Drosophila melanogaster: one gene and its partners. The protein of the gene in region 1 purifies or fractionates together with the protein of each later gene. This does not show direct contact. Each region holds a gene or a part of one and is shown in the gene's direction. Other genes may lie near its edges. The genes, in order: Khc-73, nudE and Nost.

Region 1 (5,085 bases):
ATTCGTTGTTTGCATTGGCTGATTGAGGTAGAAATTCGAGAATAAGTCCCCCGGGCGATTTGCCAATTTGGCAGCAGGCGTGGGCCAAAAATTATCGAAAATATAAATATAATATGGCTAATGTTTTCTTTGCTCTCGAAGACGTCGTCGAGATTCGCAGTTGTAAGTCCCCAGATAGCCAGTTTGCATTTTATGGCAGCTAATGGCTATTCGATGAAACCATTTCAAGGGTAAATCGTAAATCTGCGCTTGGCTTCGCATCCACTATTATATTATTTTCCGATTTTTGCCTATGCAAATGAACCTTCACCTTAACTTTGCGGATCCCGATCGCCCAGTTTGGTTTCTTTTTCCCTCGTTTTTTCTTTGGACAAACGATGGGTTTTGTAACTAATATTCGCGAACTGGCTCTGGTTTTGCCATGTTTGCTGCACGCTGGTTTTTAATGGAATGGCTGTAGGAAAAATGGTGATTTATATTTTGACACTGCCTGCTTATGATCGCGTTTGGGGGTCAAGGATCGATTTCAATCCGGGATCTGCAACTAATCGAAGTGACCTACTTTTCAAACAATAATCCAATCAATATAGAACTGTCCTTGGCACTCGCTCTTATTCCAAAAAATATTAGTTTACCAGTATTTTTGTCTTGTTTATTTACTTTTGTAAGATTCGCAATCGAAACTAATTTTTAGGATGTGTGTGTTTTTTTTTTTAGCGCGACACTCGCAGCTTCGCGTCTTTCGCAGATACTGTGACCCTTTGCGGCGATTCCAAACCTTTATAAACTCCGTGAGCGCCCAAAACGCACGTGAACAGGTATCAAGCGGGTATTGAGTTAAAAAAATTAATAAAAAAACAGCAACAAAAAATGAGATACGAATGAAAACAAACCGAGCGATGAAAGCGAAACTGCTTTTCGCTTTGTTTATTTTTGGGAATCGGAACGGCCTGCATTTGCGATCGGCTCGTTATTTTTTTTTGGTTCACACGTATACGTCACTAGGCCGGGCTCAAATTGCCGGTCTTGAGTTCTCGTTTTTCACGCCGATCGATCGCGTTCATTGACTCCGCTATGATGGGGAGGCGTTCTTCCGAGTTGAAAGTCGCTCCCTTAATGAGGCAGTGGATCCTTGCATATGCGAAACTAGAAACCTACAGGAACTACATTTTTCTTTTTCATTTTCCGTTGGTAGCTTTTTTATTCGTCTATATATCAATATCAATAAAAAGTAAAACGCAACTGATCAAGTTGCCCACTTATGCGACCCAACTTCAGTTTTTTTGGAACAAAATAGGTTTCACTGTACTGAAAATCAGCATTGCAAAACAGGAAGTGCCACTTAAAATGCAATTGCAAATGGAATGGTTCCACTAGGGAACGGTTATTTTCCAACAGGGTCAAAATAAATTACAGGAATATACAACGGAAGAAGCCGATATATTTCCACATTAAATTAATAAATGACAAGTCAAACAACAAATTAAATCTAATATGACGTTCTATAAGTAAAACTTATGATTATTTCATAAAAAAAGTATACATTGGTTTGAAAAAAAATGGTCCGGGGAATCTGGGACTCAAAGAATTCGTTCTTAAAAGATAATTCAAATGATTTTAAGATCGTGGTCAGATTATTTACTTTAGTTTGTAGTACGCTAAGTAAACGAGTTTTATTTAATTTTAAAATTATTAAATATTTTTTAACATTCTAGCTGGACAATACTTCTACCTTTGTATATGTTACCTTTATATAATATTTGCAATAACATCATTATATATATATTCACTTTTTTAATAGATCCAAAGTTTGAAAATAACGATATTTTAAAAAGCCCTTTTTTCGGTCTGTGAATGGTCACACTAAAATTCAATTTTAGAACTTAGCGAGTTCACCCACCCAAACTAGAATTAAGCACATCGTTTTTGGTATTTTTAGAAAAGAAAACTGTGGTATTTCTTGGGCACCCTGCACACGGTCACACTCATCGATAGTCGCAAGAGCAATCGATGATTCTGCATCACTAGTAAAAATTGCTGAGAAAAACGAAAACGCGAAAAATGAAAACGCAATACAGAAAATCAAAATTGAAGTGAAACCAAGTGCGAAAACGAAGGAGCTAAAGGTGCGGTCAAACGATAAGCATATCCCAAATGAAAACAATGCGAGTGTGCAGCCAAAAGAGGCCCCCATTTGTGTTGCTCCCCTCGAAAGAAAAAGAGCCATAAAAATCGATTCTTCAAAGAAGTCGCACACTGCGTTCGAGACTTTTTTGCGCGGGCGGTGGAGCCTGGCGTTGCTTTTCGCCAACTTTTCGTGGAGCTCGTAAAGTTTTTGTATTTCGCGTGGCTTTTGAGGGTTAAAAAGAGCTACCTGTGCATAGTGCATACCTGCTGATCTGTGTGTGTGTGGGGGTGTAGTTGTGTGTGAAAGTGCGAAAAGAATATCAAGTCTGTATGTACATATTCGCATTTATTTGGACAGCCCTGAAAAATCGGACAGGACACTAGAATCACATTCTTAATTAGCTAATTTCCAGTAAATATTTGAGTGTGTCTCGCGTAAATAACGGAATGCCAGCACATGACAATAAAACGTATCCGTGTGCGTGCAAGTGTGTGTGTGTGTAGTAACAACAAAGCAAAAAAGCAAAAGCAAAACAAAGTGAATGACAAACGGCGAGAACGAAATGGAAAACCACCCCCCGCACCACCCACTTACTGTTAGACATGTGTGCGCGTGTGTGCGTGGCGCTAATTGAACTCACACAATATATATAATTTATTTTTTTTGGCGCTCCACAAAAGCCACTTACTTGTGAGTCAGCTTACGACTTCCACCTGCCTTCCAGATTGCGTGCTCATAACTCCCGCGAGGACGACAACTACCGCTAACAACTAACGGTCATAAAAGTCAAAAGCAACGAAGCCCGAGGAGAAGGAGCTAGCCACGCCCCCCGCTGCAGCCCCCGCTTAGGGAGCCCCGCCCATCCGCATATCCACTCCGCTTCATCTAAATAGAGATTCAAAAACAACACCCGCTGCATCCACATCCGCGATGGCTAGTGATAAGATCAAAGTCGCCGTAAGGGTGCGACCCTTCAATCGCCGAGGTAAGTGCCGATTTACATGCCCCACATAATCCCCTGTACTGGGAGAAAAATTCGCCAACTTATGGAGTTTCAAAATATAAATGTTTCACAATCGACATGAGCACAATAATAAGCAACAGATAGACATAATTTCTGATTTTTCATTGTACAAAAATGTTACATTATCGTAAATTAAAAAACAAAATAATTTTGGAGTAAATCTGAAAAGCTACAGACTTAAAGCTTAAATATTCGCCCTTTAATTTTGTGTTTTAATGCGCTCATATTTATCTATTGTTATGTTAAAACTTTCATCTTTTTTTTAGTATAATAAAGTAGTTTTACGGTTGGTCGTGAGGGTGGTTAAGCAATTTCTATAAAATTATAACATCAGATGCCAGGCACTCCATTTATTTTGTAAGAGTTGATAATATAGTTCATAAGGAGTTGCCTTGAGTGGCCCGCACTTTCCATTTTCCCCACTTTTTCACATTGTTTCCCAACAATGGCCAACAAGCACTGCAGTTGCCTGCAATCAATAATGCAAACAACCAACCAGGCAAGCGACTGTTTTTTTAGGCTAACGAAATTTACATGGGCTTCCTCGCTTCCTTTGAAATACGGTTTCGTTTTTCAACTGCTGCGCCAGCGGATTTTTCGCAGGGCTTAACTGCAGAACTACAGCGTCTACCTACGGGATGGTAATGGGATGGGATGGATTGGGATGGTTTTGCAAGGTCCCCGGTCTGCTCGTCTGACAAACGATTTGCGTTTCCAGCTAATTTCGCGTTACCCACTGCCAGCCACGAAGTGTGTTGCAAGTGCAAAATAACTAAAAATGAAAAACAAGCAACAGCGCCGTCAGCGTTTCCAATGTCAACACTGATCATTCATTTGGCTCATCCATGACTCACACTCGCGGCGGCGTCGGCGGAAGCGAAGGATGGCAGCGGAAAAGGGGCTCTACGACCCAACCATATGCAAAAGATACCTATGTAAACGCATATAAGCGTGCTGCATGCTTGTATTTATGTGCCTGTGCGTGGGGCAAGGTCCACTTGGATCCCCTGCTGTATTGATTGAATGGCAAACTTTGATTGCACATCTTATTTATATTTACATAAGGCATTGAATCAGTTACATTTATTGCATTTTGGTGCACCCTCTGTTTATAAATTGGCATAACGTAAAGTTTGATTTCATACACATATAAACAAACGGCAGGCTTAGAAAGTATTCCATTTATATGGGTCACGATCCTAATTGATTGAATGACAAACCTACACCGATGACTCCATGTTTGTTTATATTTACATGATTGTATAATCCATCAAAACACATTTCTGTTGTTATTTTGTAGCTTTTCTTTTCATACTCAGTTTGTCATAACTCGATTAGATGGACTCTAACCTATTAGGTCTTTATCTATAGCGAAGCTAATGGATGAATTAGGATAATTGCAATTGCATTCTGGTTTTAGAGGTAGTCGTTGTGGAGCATAGTGCAATAATTGTGCACTTGCAAGTATTTGCAAATGAAACACAAACTAGTCTTAGTAGCTATGGGACCTTAAAGTGATGAATTCTGCGATCACAGATGCTCATTTAATTACAAATAACTTTGTAATTTTGACAAATTTATTACCACGCTAGTGCCAGCTACTTGTGAAACTAATTAATTGTATCCGTAACACTTGTATATACTTGTTTATTGGCAAACAAACAACTACTTCTGGTTATCCATCATAATGTGTCACTTGTAATATTTTCCGGCCAAGTTAGGCGTACGCATGGACTTGGTAACCGCGTGTATTTTTAGAAGTTTGACCGTGTATCGATGTTGTACTTTGTCATGTTTTTGGCTTGTTTGATCCGTTGCTGTTTTGGTGTCTGAAGAGAGTAGTAGTCGTAGTCACCGGAAAGTCTGCGATAAGCAACGCAGAATCGTTATCACTGGGCTGATAAAGGCTTGTATTTTGCGATACCCAGCGTGT
Region 2 (5,291 bases), on another chromosome or scaffold:
GTCGTAAAGCCCTTGTAACTAAACTCTTGTATATATTAATGATATGGACAAGCTTTTTCCGAGCTGAAGATCAGGTTCCTTGGTAAACAATGGAACCACTGCTCATCGCAGACCCTCATTTTCGCCCTGTATTGCGATAAGGCAGCGAATGACATGATGACTCATGGACTCATTGACTGCCCCCGCTTAACCACCACTATAGCAACACCTCCGAATCGATGCTGATTAAACAGCTGTGGGGAACGCTTTTTGCGCTGATTACGAGCGTCCTAGCATAAACAATAACAAAGGCGGTGCAAAAATTTTGCCGATACCGGCGTCGAGTAACTAACTACAATCGATCTTTACATTTTTGGCAGCTCTTCACAATTTCGTGATAAAATTACATTTTTTTTATGGTGTACGTGGCCCATTTGATATTTAGGCCAATAAGAAAATTTTATATTAGGTTGTAAATTTTTGGTAATACCAATAATACTGGGCCCTATTAAAAAATAAAAAAATGGCAGATAATTTAAAATGGCATTTGGGCACCACATATCCTATCAGTTTTTCTTTCTGTGCAGTCCCATTGCTCTCCCCCCGCACCAAACCACACGCATTTATGACTCAGTTGGGTGAAGTGTGAAAATGCCAAATGAGACGGCGAGCAGACAACTCGGAATCACGGCGTTGGATCCGGATAAGTGGAGCGCCCGCACACTTGTTGGGCTTCCAATGGGTTGCCCGCCCGGCTGATTGGATGCGGGTTGAATGCCCGGCTTTACAGTAACGATACGCACCGTCCTCGTTTGTGGCCACCGATGAGTTGCTGCCGGGATTATCGGCACCCTCGTCCACGGCGTCCACGGAATTGTAGCCATTGCCGTCGTCCTTGTTGATCAGGCTTTGTCGCTCTGGATCCGCCATTGTGGACTATCTTCCGATAAATGGATATTTATATGTGTGGACTATAATCTCTATATGCTGGAGCAATTCCCGTTAGGCTGCACTTCCAGTTGCCTTTGTTTTGTTGTTGCTGTTGCTGCGGGGGCTGCTGCAACGCGTTGATTTCAACTGGAAAATGAGTGGGAAATCCAATAGTTTAGTTGCTGTGCCACATAATTTCGGACGCAACGAGCTCTTTGTTCACGATTGCCGCAGTAGTTTGGTTTTTTTTTTCTTCGTTCGTCGCGGTTTTCACTCGCGTTGATTGAAACACATCCTCCCTTTTTTCACTTTTCGGCATGCGCCGCAATTAATCAATTCGATGATGCTGCATGTGCAACGCCCACGCGAGCTCGATTGTCGCACTCACACAGTTGACATTTGGTTATAATACTGGCAATTGCGTTAATTGTTTAACAATTGCTGGCCATAATTGTGCTATATTTTACCTTATTTTTGTTGAAAATGCACTGCAGTCGCTGCGATCTGGCCACACTCTGGCTAGCTATCTGGCAACGATGTCCCGTTTGAGATTTTTCAGTTGCGGCCCTGCCAGGGAGTTGCCACATCGTTGTACTTGGTAAAGAACCAGAAACAGATCAGCGAAAAATTGTTCATTTTTGGAACCAAAACAATCCAGCGCGGCTTAAAACAAATATGTCTAAAATCACGAAAAACTCCAATAAAATTGACAATAAGGATTCTGTAAGCGGGGAAGGCTCAAATAGTGGGGACGATAACACGTCCACAAGTTCAAGTGACTTTGAAACAAGCAGAAAACACAAACTACGCCGCAAATCCTGTCGAAATGTATCATATCATTATCATGCGCTGCCCATGCGCGTAGTTGGCGAAAATGTTGCAGCACTGCCACAAACTCCCAGCTCCACTCGTGATTTAACACTAAGCTCAGCTCAAATAATTGAAGATAGTTCCGACTCTGAGTTTCATATTTCGGACGATACCAGCAACGATGCGCCGGCCAACAAATCGATAACGTTCACAGCACGTCCATTAGAGAAATATGATTTGGAATATATAAGAAAACTACGTAAACGCAAAAAAAAGCCGAGTAAAACTTTATATGTTGATTAAATTTCAAATAACAACTGTTGACCAGGGCTGGAAACGGCAAATGCCCATCTATTGGCCAACACTGGCAACCCAAGCCAGGGTTGGCTTGTGCGTTTTTGGAGTAGTGGTAAATTTTTACGAGCATAACTATTTACACTGATTTTATGTAAATAAAACAAACAAAACGTAGCAAAATTAAGTGCAAAGTGTAAGTAGTAAATGTGGACAGTCGTGCTGTATAAAATTCTAGGTATAAACACTGGAATTCTACGAAAAAATCACCGATGATTTCATTTCCATGCAGTGCGTTGTTGTATGGGAAACTTCGTCGTAGCTATTTGTTGTTGTTGTTGTTGCTGCTGCTCATCACCATCATCCTCGTTGTTTTCGTTGTTGTTGCCGCAGCAGCTGCGTCACAAAAATGAGTTTTGTTTAATTTGATTTTATTTACATTTGATATGGACAAAACCGACTGCCCTTTTAGGGCATCGAACAAGAACAACAGCAACAGTAACTACAAAATTCAGGGCAAACACCTGTTCCTAATTGATTTTTCACTTTTCTTCGCCGACTTCTAGTCTATTCACCACCCCCAACACACAAAACAAAAAAAAAGTAAAACTACGACTTGAACAACAACTGTGTTTTGGCATTTTAATCACAGCAATTAAAAACAAAGCAGCCAAAAAACACGAATAAATAACCCAAACAGTAATAGACCAACCGTAGTACATAGCATTGTTCAGAAATTAAAAGTTAAATCAATTCGAACGAACGAAATTACAAACCCATTTTGACCGCCGATTAGTACACAAAAACCAGAAAAAGGAGTTAGCAGCTAAGGAAAATTTGCAGAAATGGAGTCGCCCCCGATGTTCAATAGTGTGGAAGATGAGTGCAGATATTGGAAGGAACGATCTAAGCAGTACCACAAAGAGTAAGTGCCCATCCCTATTACAGTCTCCGAAATCAGCCATATAGCCTAGTTTTACTTTTAATTTTCAGGTGGACAGACGTGAAACAGGAGTACGACGAGTTTGTGGAGCAGTCCCGCGAAATGGAAATAGAAATGGACGCCACTCTGGACCAGAAGCAGAGTATAATCAAAGATCTCACAGCCAAACTCACAATGTTTGAGCGGGAAAACGAGTCTCTCAAGGTAGCTATAAGCTAAGCCCGATTTACACAAACTGAGCTTAATTCTTAGACTCAGTTTGCGTATATGTGGCTTTGAGCTCCCGACAAGATTAGTCTTTACAACTATTTCATTCTCAGCTCAAGTTGGAATCGCATGGCATCGATATGTCAAACATGGAGAAACAGCTGGAAACGGTGAAGAAGGATCGCGACACCATGAAGGTGTACCTGCGGCAGCTGGAGCAGAAAAACGACGATTTGGAACGTGCCCATCGCATACTTAACGAAAGCATAGAGAATTTCGAGAAGATGCTGGATCAGGCCTACGAGAAGAACGCCCTTCTGGAGCTGGAAGTGGATGAAAAGGGATTGCTGCAGGAAAAACTACAGCGATTAATGGATGAGACGAGAGGTGGATGCATCTATACCAGATGTCCAGCACAGACTTTAAAACTAATTCATCAAATCTATTGCAGATCTCAAACAAGAGCTGAACGTCAAGTCACGCTTTACCCCAGTGGTCAATGGAACGAGCGTTCCCACGGCAAACGACACAAATACGGTCAACAGCTCGATGAACTCGTCCGCCTCGCTGCCAAATGGTATTGTTGCCAATGGCGAATTGGTAAAACACGACAATGCTGTCGCCACAAGAGCCACCAGCGTCAGCGTCAACGCCCTCAATGGCAGTTTAGTTAATAGAAACGAATATAACCAGCAGCATTCGCTTAAGAGTAAGATACTAAGTTCCCTAAAGAAAACCAGACGCGCGCTAAAACTGTCCAAGACGAATCGCCAAACGTTCAAGCCATGCATTTAGTATTGTTTTTCCATTTGTTTCTTTTTTACTTGTTAACCAAAAAATGTAGCCCGCTTAAGTTCCTCATAATTTGTAATTGTATTGTAAATTATTAAAATTAAGAGCCCAAATGTGACGAAAGAGTTTGCAACATTTCTTGTAGGCGATTTTTGTACGATTTGTGTTTGCGTCTGTAGCTAGTAGTTGACCTAACTAACCTCTCGACTAACATGCTGTGTACGTGTGCTTCCTCTTGCAGATCCCGAGAATCAAATCAATGGCAATTCCATGAACCCCAGCTCCCGCACAACGGCGCTCAACATTGTGGCCGACATGTTAAGAAAACTAAACGTAAGTCCCTCCGCAAACTATAAGTCCAGCATGCCATCCTACCTCATCCATTGTTTCGTATGTACATATGATCCTTGAACCCTTCACTCCCACCATCGGCTTATGTGTTTTTCCCTATGTTTTTAGTGGGACAAGGCACTGCTATGTCCCGAGTGCGAAAAGTTTCGCTGCATGTGTGAGCGCCCGGCAAGTGTGCAGCCGCCGCCGCCGCCATCGGCCAGCGAGGCAAGTCTTTTTCGCCGCGCCTTTGGCGGCAGCAGCAGCTCAGTGGCCACCAGTAGCGCCCAGTCCACGCCCACCAGCGATTGCAGCTCCGCCGGAAGCCTCAGTGCGGGCTCAAACATTTTTAGGCGCTTCGCCGAGCGCATGCGAAACTCGCCGGACGCCAGCCTGCCGCTCTGACAATGCGCTCGGAACTTTAAGGCTAATTTTAGTTGCCCTCCGCTTGCATTTATTAATTGCATTGGTTAATAAATACAAAATTTATTTGTACCTTATTTTATGTTCTTTGTTTTTGTTCGTTATGATTTATTCAGTTTCGAAAGCGCATAATAACTTGGCTTGCTGACTAAACTCTGCACTGGGCAAACCGTTGCGAAATGAAATTTTCATTAATTTATTTATTATATGATGTGCCCAAATCCTTCTATAGTTAATTTTTCATATAGTTCACTGACTGTTGCTTAATCCGCTCTCGTTTTGTGTTTTTTTTTTAGGCGATGGAGACGAAACTGAAGACGTACCGCGAGAATGGTCAGCCAATGCCGCAGCGACACCGCTCCTCCCAGCAATCCACACATCCGGCGCTGGCCGGACTGCCTTGCTTCTCGCTGGATGCCGAGTAGTGTGGATTCTGCAGTTCAGCGTGATCCACAAACCCCAAATCCGAAACCCAATCACCTAGGGCGGGATACTGTTCAGTTGGCTTTACGTTTACGTTACGTTACTTTAATGTTACTGTTCGCATTAATTAAGTTTCTGCTGCCTCTTTATTTATTTGAAC
Region 3 (4,835 bases), on another chromosome or scaffold:
TTAATTCAATCCTCGCCCAAATCGAAACTTTGAACAGACAACGACTTTGGATTCTCCCTTCCACCTGGATATACACTATATATACATACATATATATATACATACATACATTTAATTATTAACTTACGCAAGTCTGAAAGTATTTCTATCGAAGAGTTCTAAACTGCTTAACTGTAAAGTGTACATACATATACCGAATTACAAACACTCACAGATCCTATAAACTATATTTATAGATGTAAGAAAAAGCACACTATTGATAACCATCCCCATCACTGTATGTATATGCCTATTTAATATATATATATATATATATATATATATCTACTTTTTTTGAATTAGTCACTAAGCATAGACAACATGAATTACTAAGTACGATATGCACTGCAAGCACTGAGGAATTTGATTCAATTTTACTTAAGACAAACGAAAAGAGAAATTGAAATAGCATTTAGCAAACCTAACGGAAAATCAAAAAAAAAAAAACAGAATTAAATAAGAGAATCTCCAATTTCTGGGATAATAATTACAAATTTAATATTAATTTTTCGAGCTACATCGGATGAGAAATACCGACGAAAAAAAAAAACTGTATTCGCTTGTGGCAATTGTGTGGGAAAGTCGAGAACGTTTAGCATCTGGATTGGCTATGCAGCATTCGTATGTTATATACTTAGAAACCCGAAAACCACAGATACACACACACACCCACGAATATTAAATAGATGTACAATAGTTATATAGACTCATTCGCATCGATCCTTTAAGCCATAGTCTATCCTGTTAAGCTCTCAAACAAAATTGTAATTTTCGGAACCGCAAAAAACGAACCCCAAACGCTCAGCTACGAGTTTCTGTTTAAAATCCAAGTGCAACTTTCAAAGAATTGTAAAAAAAAAAAAAATATCAATAACACTTTACGCTAGCGAATCCCAACAATATTTGGACAAACGATCGAAATCATCCACAAAATTGCTTATAATATGAATTTTCTGACTCTCTCCTAAGGGAAAATAAAAATTTTTTTTGGTATTTCAAACTCAACAACATTGCGTTTTTCTTTTATGGCATAGTTTTGGGCTTTCTCACCTACAAGTAAAGTCAAATTCAGATGAGTCACGGCTTGTAAGGTAACTAAATAAGTTATTAGAATATTGTAATCACAGCATTTAGACGGAAATCGAAATAAGTCATAAGGGTAAGTTCGAAAGATGCAAATTTATGCATCTGCATTCCATAACTTTGAAGTCATCGTAAGCCAAGCTTAAACGAGCTTTAAAACGTACACAAAGCTTGTCCAATTGGCTGCAACTTTTTTTTAACAATAAATAAATTTTTAAAAATTAAATCTTTTTATCTAAAATTGTCTGAATGTCAGCTGACTTCAATCAGTTGAATATATGTTCTTTATGCATTTTCATTTCATATTTTTCTTTATCATATTCTATTCACCGAGTGGAAGATTTCCCTGCAGGTTTGTTGTTTTTTTTTTTAGCCACATAAGTCAGTAAATCAGCCCACTGTACCCACTGTGCCGCTCCACAAAGAGCGTTCAGCGTTGAGCGGAGAGCGTTTAGAAAGCGCCAGCGACCGGCGATTGCAATTGCCACCGCTCACGGAGAGCGGCGAGCGGCGTTTGCGATTGCGATTGCCATTGGGATTGGGATTTGTTGTAGCGTGGATCGCGGAGTCGGAGTCAAAAGCTAAAAGCCAGATTCAGTTGGCGGCGCAGACTCGACTCGTTTAGTTCGCCGTTTCGTAGAAGAGCGACGAGAGCGCATGCGGCTTTTCCAGCGCGGTTTTTCCACCAAAACTTCGGCGACCTGTGTACTATTATTTATATTTTTATTACATTTTTTTTTATTGTTTTTTCTTTCTACCTGCGAACGCTTTGCTCGCCTTGAACTGGAGTGCTTCGTTTTTGAGTAGTGCATCTCTGCCTTTTGCTGGCGAGTGCTACAATTGTCGCACGTAATCGTGCTGGCAGTTACGCCTCAGAAAGCAGCCAAAAAAAAAAGAAAAAAAAACGCAGATACAAGATACAAAAGTATCTCGAACACATGCGTTACGCTCAGCTGACTCGTCGTGTGTGTGAGTGTATCGTAGTGTCGTTGTGTGTGTGTGCTAACAAATTGGTTAGATAAATTAAACAAAAACTGTGAAATTCGCGAATCAAAAAAAAAAAAAAAACAAAAGTAAAATAAAAGTTACACAAACGAAATACGCGAAGGAAAAGCGACGAGCTGAAACTGAAAGCAAACAATCAGCCGGGCTGACCAGTAGTAAATGCTTTAAACTTCAATTATAAAATTTAAATTGAAAAAAATAAAAAAAACACATATAGTTCACAATACCGCATCATAATATCCTACCCGCATCCTAACCCCCGCCGCTGGCCAAAATATGTCACAATTCCGCGATAATTCATGGGTGAGTTGCGATCGAGTTCAGTTCGGTTTGGCTTGAGATTTGGCACTAATTACCGACTAACTACTGCACACGTATCCACAGTGATACTCGCACTCTATCCTGCACTCAAAACTAATCCAAATTGCACAATTATCCAACACAATTTCTCTCCCTATCCTCATTTGTCCATTGCCCAACGCCCCCTCTCGACATCTTCTTAATTGGTCCAAATCGTTAATTAACCTGTGTGGCCATCTGTAAACCGATTGGCCAATTGGCACCATGCATCTCTCGGCCTGACCCGATTTTTTTAAATTTCGCAGCTCGCCAAGTGCCGATCCATCGATTGGTGGAATTGCACTGGCAATCAAAGTTGATAATTAGGGGAATTTTGACGATTTCTTCAATCATTTTGATGTTTAGTATTTGAGATACATTCACTAGTTCTTTGATGGCTTATTACCTTAAACTGCTTTTGAACTTTAAGAAAGTTACAAATATTCGTTTTAACTTACTATAACTTTATAAGTTTAATGAACAGAAAATATAGAACTTTCCACATTTATAGACAAGCAATTATAATATCATTTTCGATATAAAAAACATTATTATTAGGGGTGTTTTTTTTCGAGTGCATTTGCATTTGTGCCGACTGGCAATTGACTTGGAACTGAGAATTTTGACAGCTTCCGAAGCTTCGCATGCAGCGAATTACCTTGGCTTTATCAGCGGAATAACGGTGTCGAGGTCACTCGAAATAACCTAATCAAATTGGTTGGTTTTTTTAAATTTTAATTTTTTATTTTTTTTTAATAGGAGTGCGTCGTTCGCTTTGGCGAACGAAAGTCGAACAGTTTTTGAATAAATTAGTGCGATGCAAAACACGCAGGTTAAGCGGGTCAAACGGCAATGTTGATAGGCATGGGATGAAATTTATAGATCGACTTATTCGAAGTGCTGTGCAACCCGTTTATCTCGAACGATTTATCTGCGAAATATCTGGCCAAGATGGTAAAAAAAAAAAACAAAAAAAACTACTGCGGCAAGTGGTATTGCAAGATATGCAAAATTGTGGTTAAGTAAAGTAGTAAATTATCAATACTTTGTATTTAGAGATATGAATTCACTACTTAAGATACTTTTTTTTCGATTTAGTTTCTCTATATGTTTGCTGACTTTCGAATTAAGCCGCAATTGCTTTGCATTTTTTTTATCTCTACTTGTGTCAAAGAGAAAAACACACACACCTACATTTACCGAGAAATTTCCCAACTTAATTTCTACATGCTATCTAGATCAAACATCATTTCCACACCTCGAGCGCCCTTTTTCTACAGCAATTGCATGATTTGAAGGTCGACGGAGCTTTCTTTTGTTTCTTTTGGAGTTAAAAAAAAAAAAAAACCGGTGAAACAAACAGTTAGGATTGCACTCAGCGAAAAGAGTTATCTAAATCCATAACTTGTTGATAAGAAGATAGTGGTTGTATTGTAGTAAAAAATAATCATATAAAAACTTGGTACATTTAGGCATGGTGAACTTTTGCACCACAGCAATTTCGCGTAGAATCGCATTCTTTTTTTTTAGAAGCCTTTGTTTCGCTTCGCTGTATTTTTGTTGTTTATGAATGTGAATGCGTTATCGTCGTATCTGCGTAACTGTAATCGCATTATGATCCATTAAAATGCGCCAGCTTTTTTGGCAGTTTTTTTTTTTGTGATAAGGTCTGCGGACACCCACCACCTAAGGCGCTCCCTCGTCTGGCAGCAAAAAAATGAAAATAAAAAATATCATAAAACCAATCAAAATCCAGTAAAATAAGAGAAAAACCAGTTGGCCTGGCCCAAGTCGATTGCGCAAATGTCGTGACTGACGTCGCGCCAACGATTATCATCTTCTTCTGGCTAAGATTGAGATTCGGACTGGGATTGGGATTGGGATTTGGGACTTGGGATGCTGCACCTGCACATCCAAAGTCTGGCGGCTGAAGTCTGCTTCCTGGTGGCAGCTTCAAGTTCAATTACGGCAGATTGTCGTGAAGGCATTGGCCATGGATTCACAACCATATCGATATACACAACCACAACCATATTCACATCCACATCCACATCCACATGTCCATGTTGGTCATCAGCAACTTTCACTCACCGGCTAAATGACGATGACGATGTGTGCCTCCTGCACATTTTGTCATCGTTTTTCATGTGGGAAAATCTCTCGCCTCTGCAAAAGATCCAAAGAAAAAAAGACCTAAACGATGGGGAAGTCGTGTGGAGGCTCGCTTTTATTTTTCCTTCTTTTTTATTCATGGAAGCTGCGCTTTTGGGCAGACATTGCAAAATAATTTCCACAACAAGTTGGGAAGGCCGTCGACGACAATGAACTTTTAATTACCCCAAAGACTCGTTTCGCAAAAAAAATAAAAA

Evidence for each region.
Region 2: the proteins of Khc-73 (region 1) and nudE purify together in Drosophila melanogaster (affinity purification with western blotting, with the first as the bait; one study listed by BioGRID). This does not show direct contact.
Region 3: the proteins of Khc-73 (region 1) and Nost purify together in Drosophila melanogaster (affinity purification with western blotting, with the first as the bait; one study listed by BioGRID). This does not show direct contact.

Annotation. Positions count from the first base shown.
Region 1 is NT_033778.4:15,529,163-15,534,247, reverse strand, and holds the start of Khc-73 (kinesin heavy chain 73), read left to right. Parts: upstream 1-1,988; 5' UTR 1,989-2,126; intron 2,127-2,852; 5' UTR 2,853-3,058; coding exon 3,059-3,113; intron 3,114-5,085.
Region 2 is NT_037436.4:9,897,147-9,902,437, forward strand, and holds nudE (nudE), read left to right. Parts: upstream 1-2,094; 5' UTR 2,095-2,209; exon of another isoform or gene 2,210-2,241; intron 2,242-2,579; 5' UTR 2,580-2,858; coding exon 2,859-2,938; intron 2,939-3,006; coding exon 3,007-3,160; intron 3,161-3,276; coding exon 3,277-3,550; intron 3,551-3,614; coding exon 3,615-3,872; coding exon of another isoform or gene 3,873-3,958; exon of another isoform or gene 3,959-4,051; intron 4,052-4,196; coding exon 4,197-4,288; intron 4,289-4,414; coding exon 4,415-4,690; 3' UTR 4,691-4,766; downstream 4,767-5,291. Other genes in the region: CG6707 (uncharacterized protein), read right to left, coding at 783-909; CG46387 (uncharacterized protein), read left to right, coding at 1,585-2,022. UniProt on the Drosophila melanogaster protein: Chaperone protein with functions in nuclear localization. Required for centrosome duplication and formation and function of the mitotic spindle.
Region 3 is NC_004354.4:9,028,467-9,033,301, forward strand, and holds the start of Nost (nostrin), read left to right. Parts: upstream 1-1,738; 5' UTR 1,739-2,403; coding exon 2,404-2,430; intron 2,431-4,835.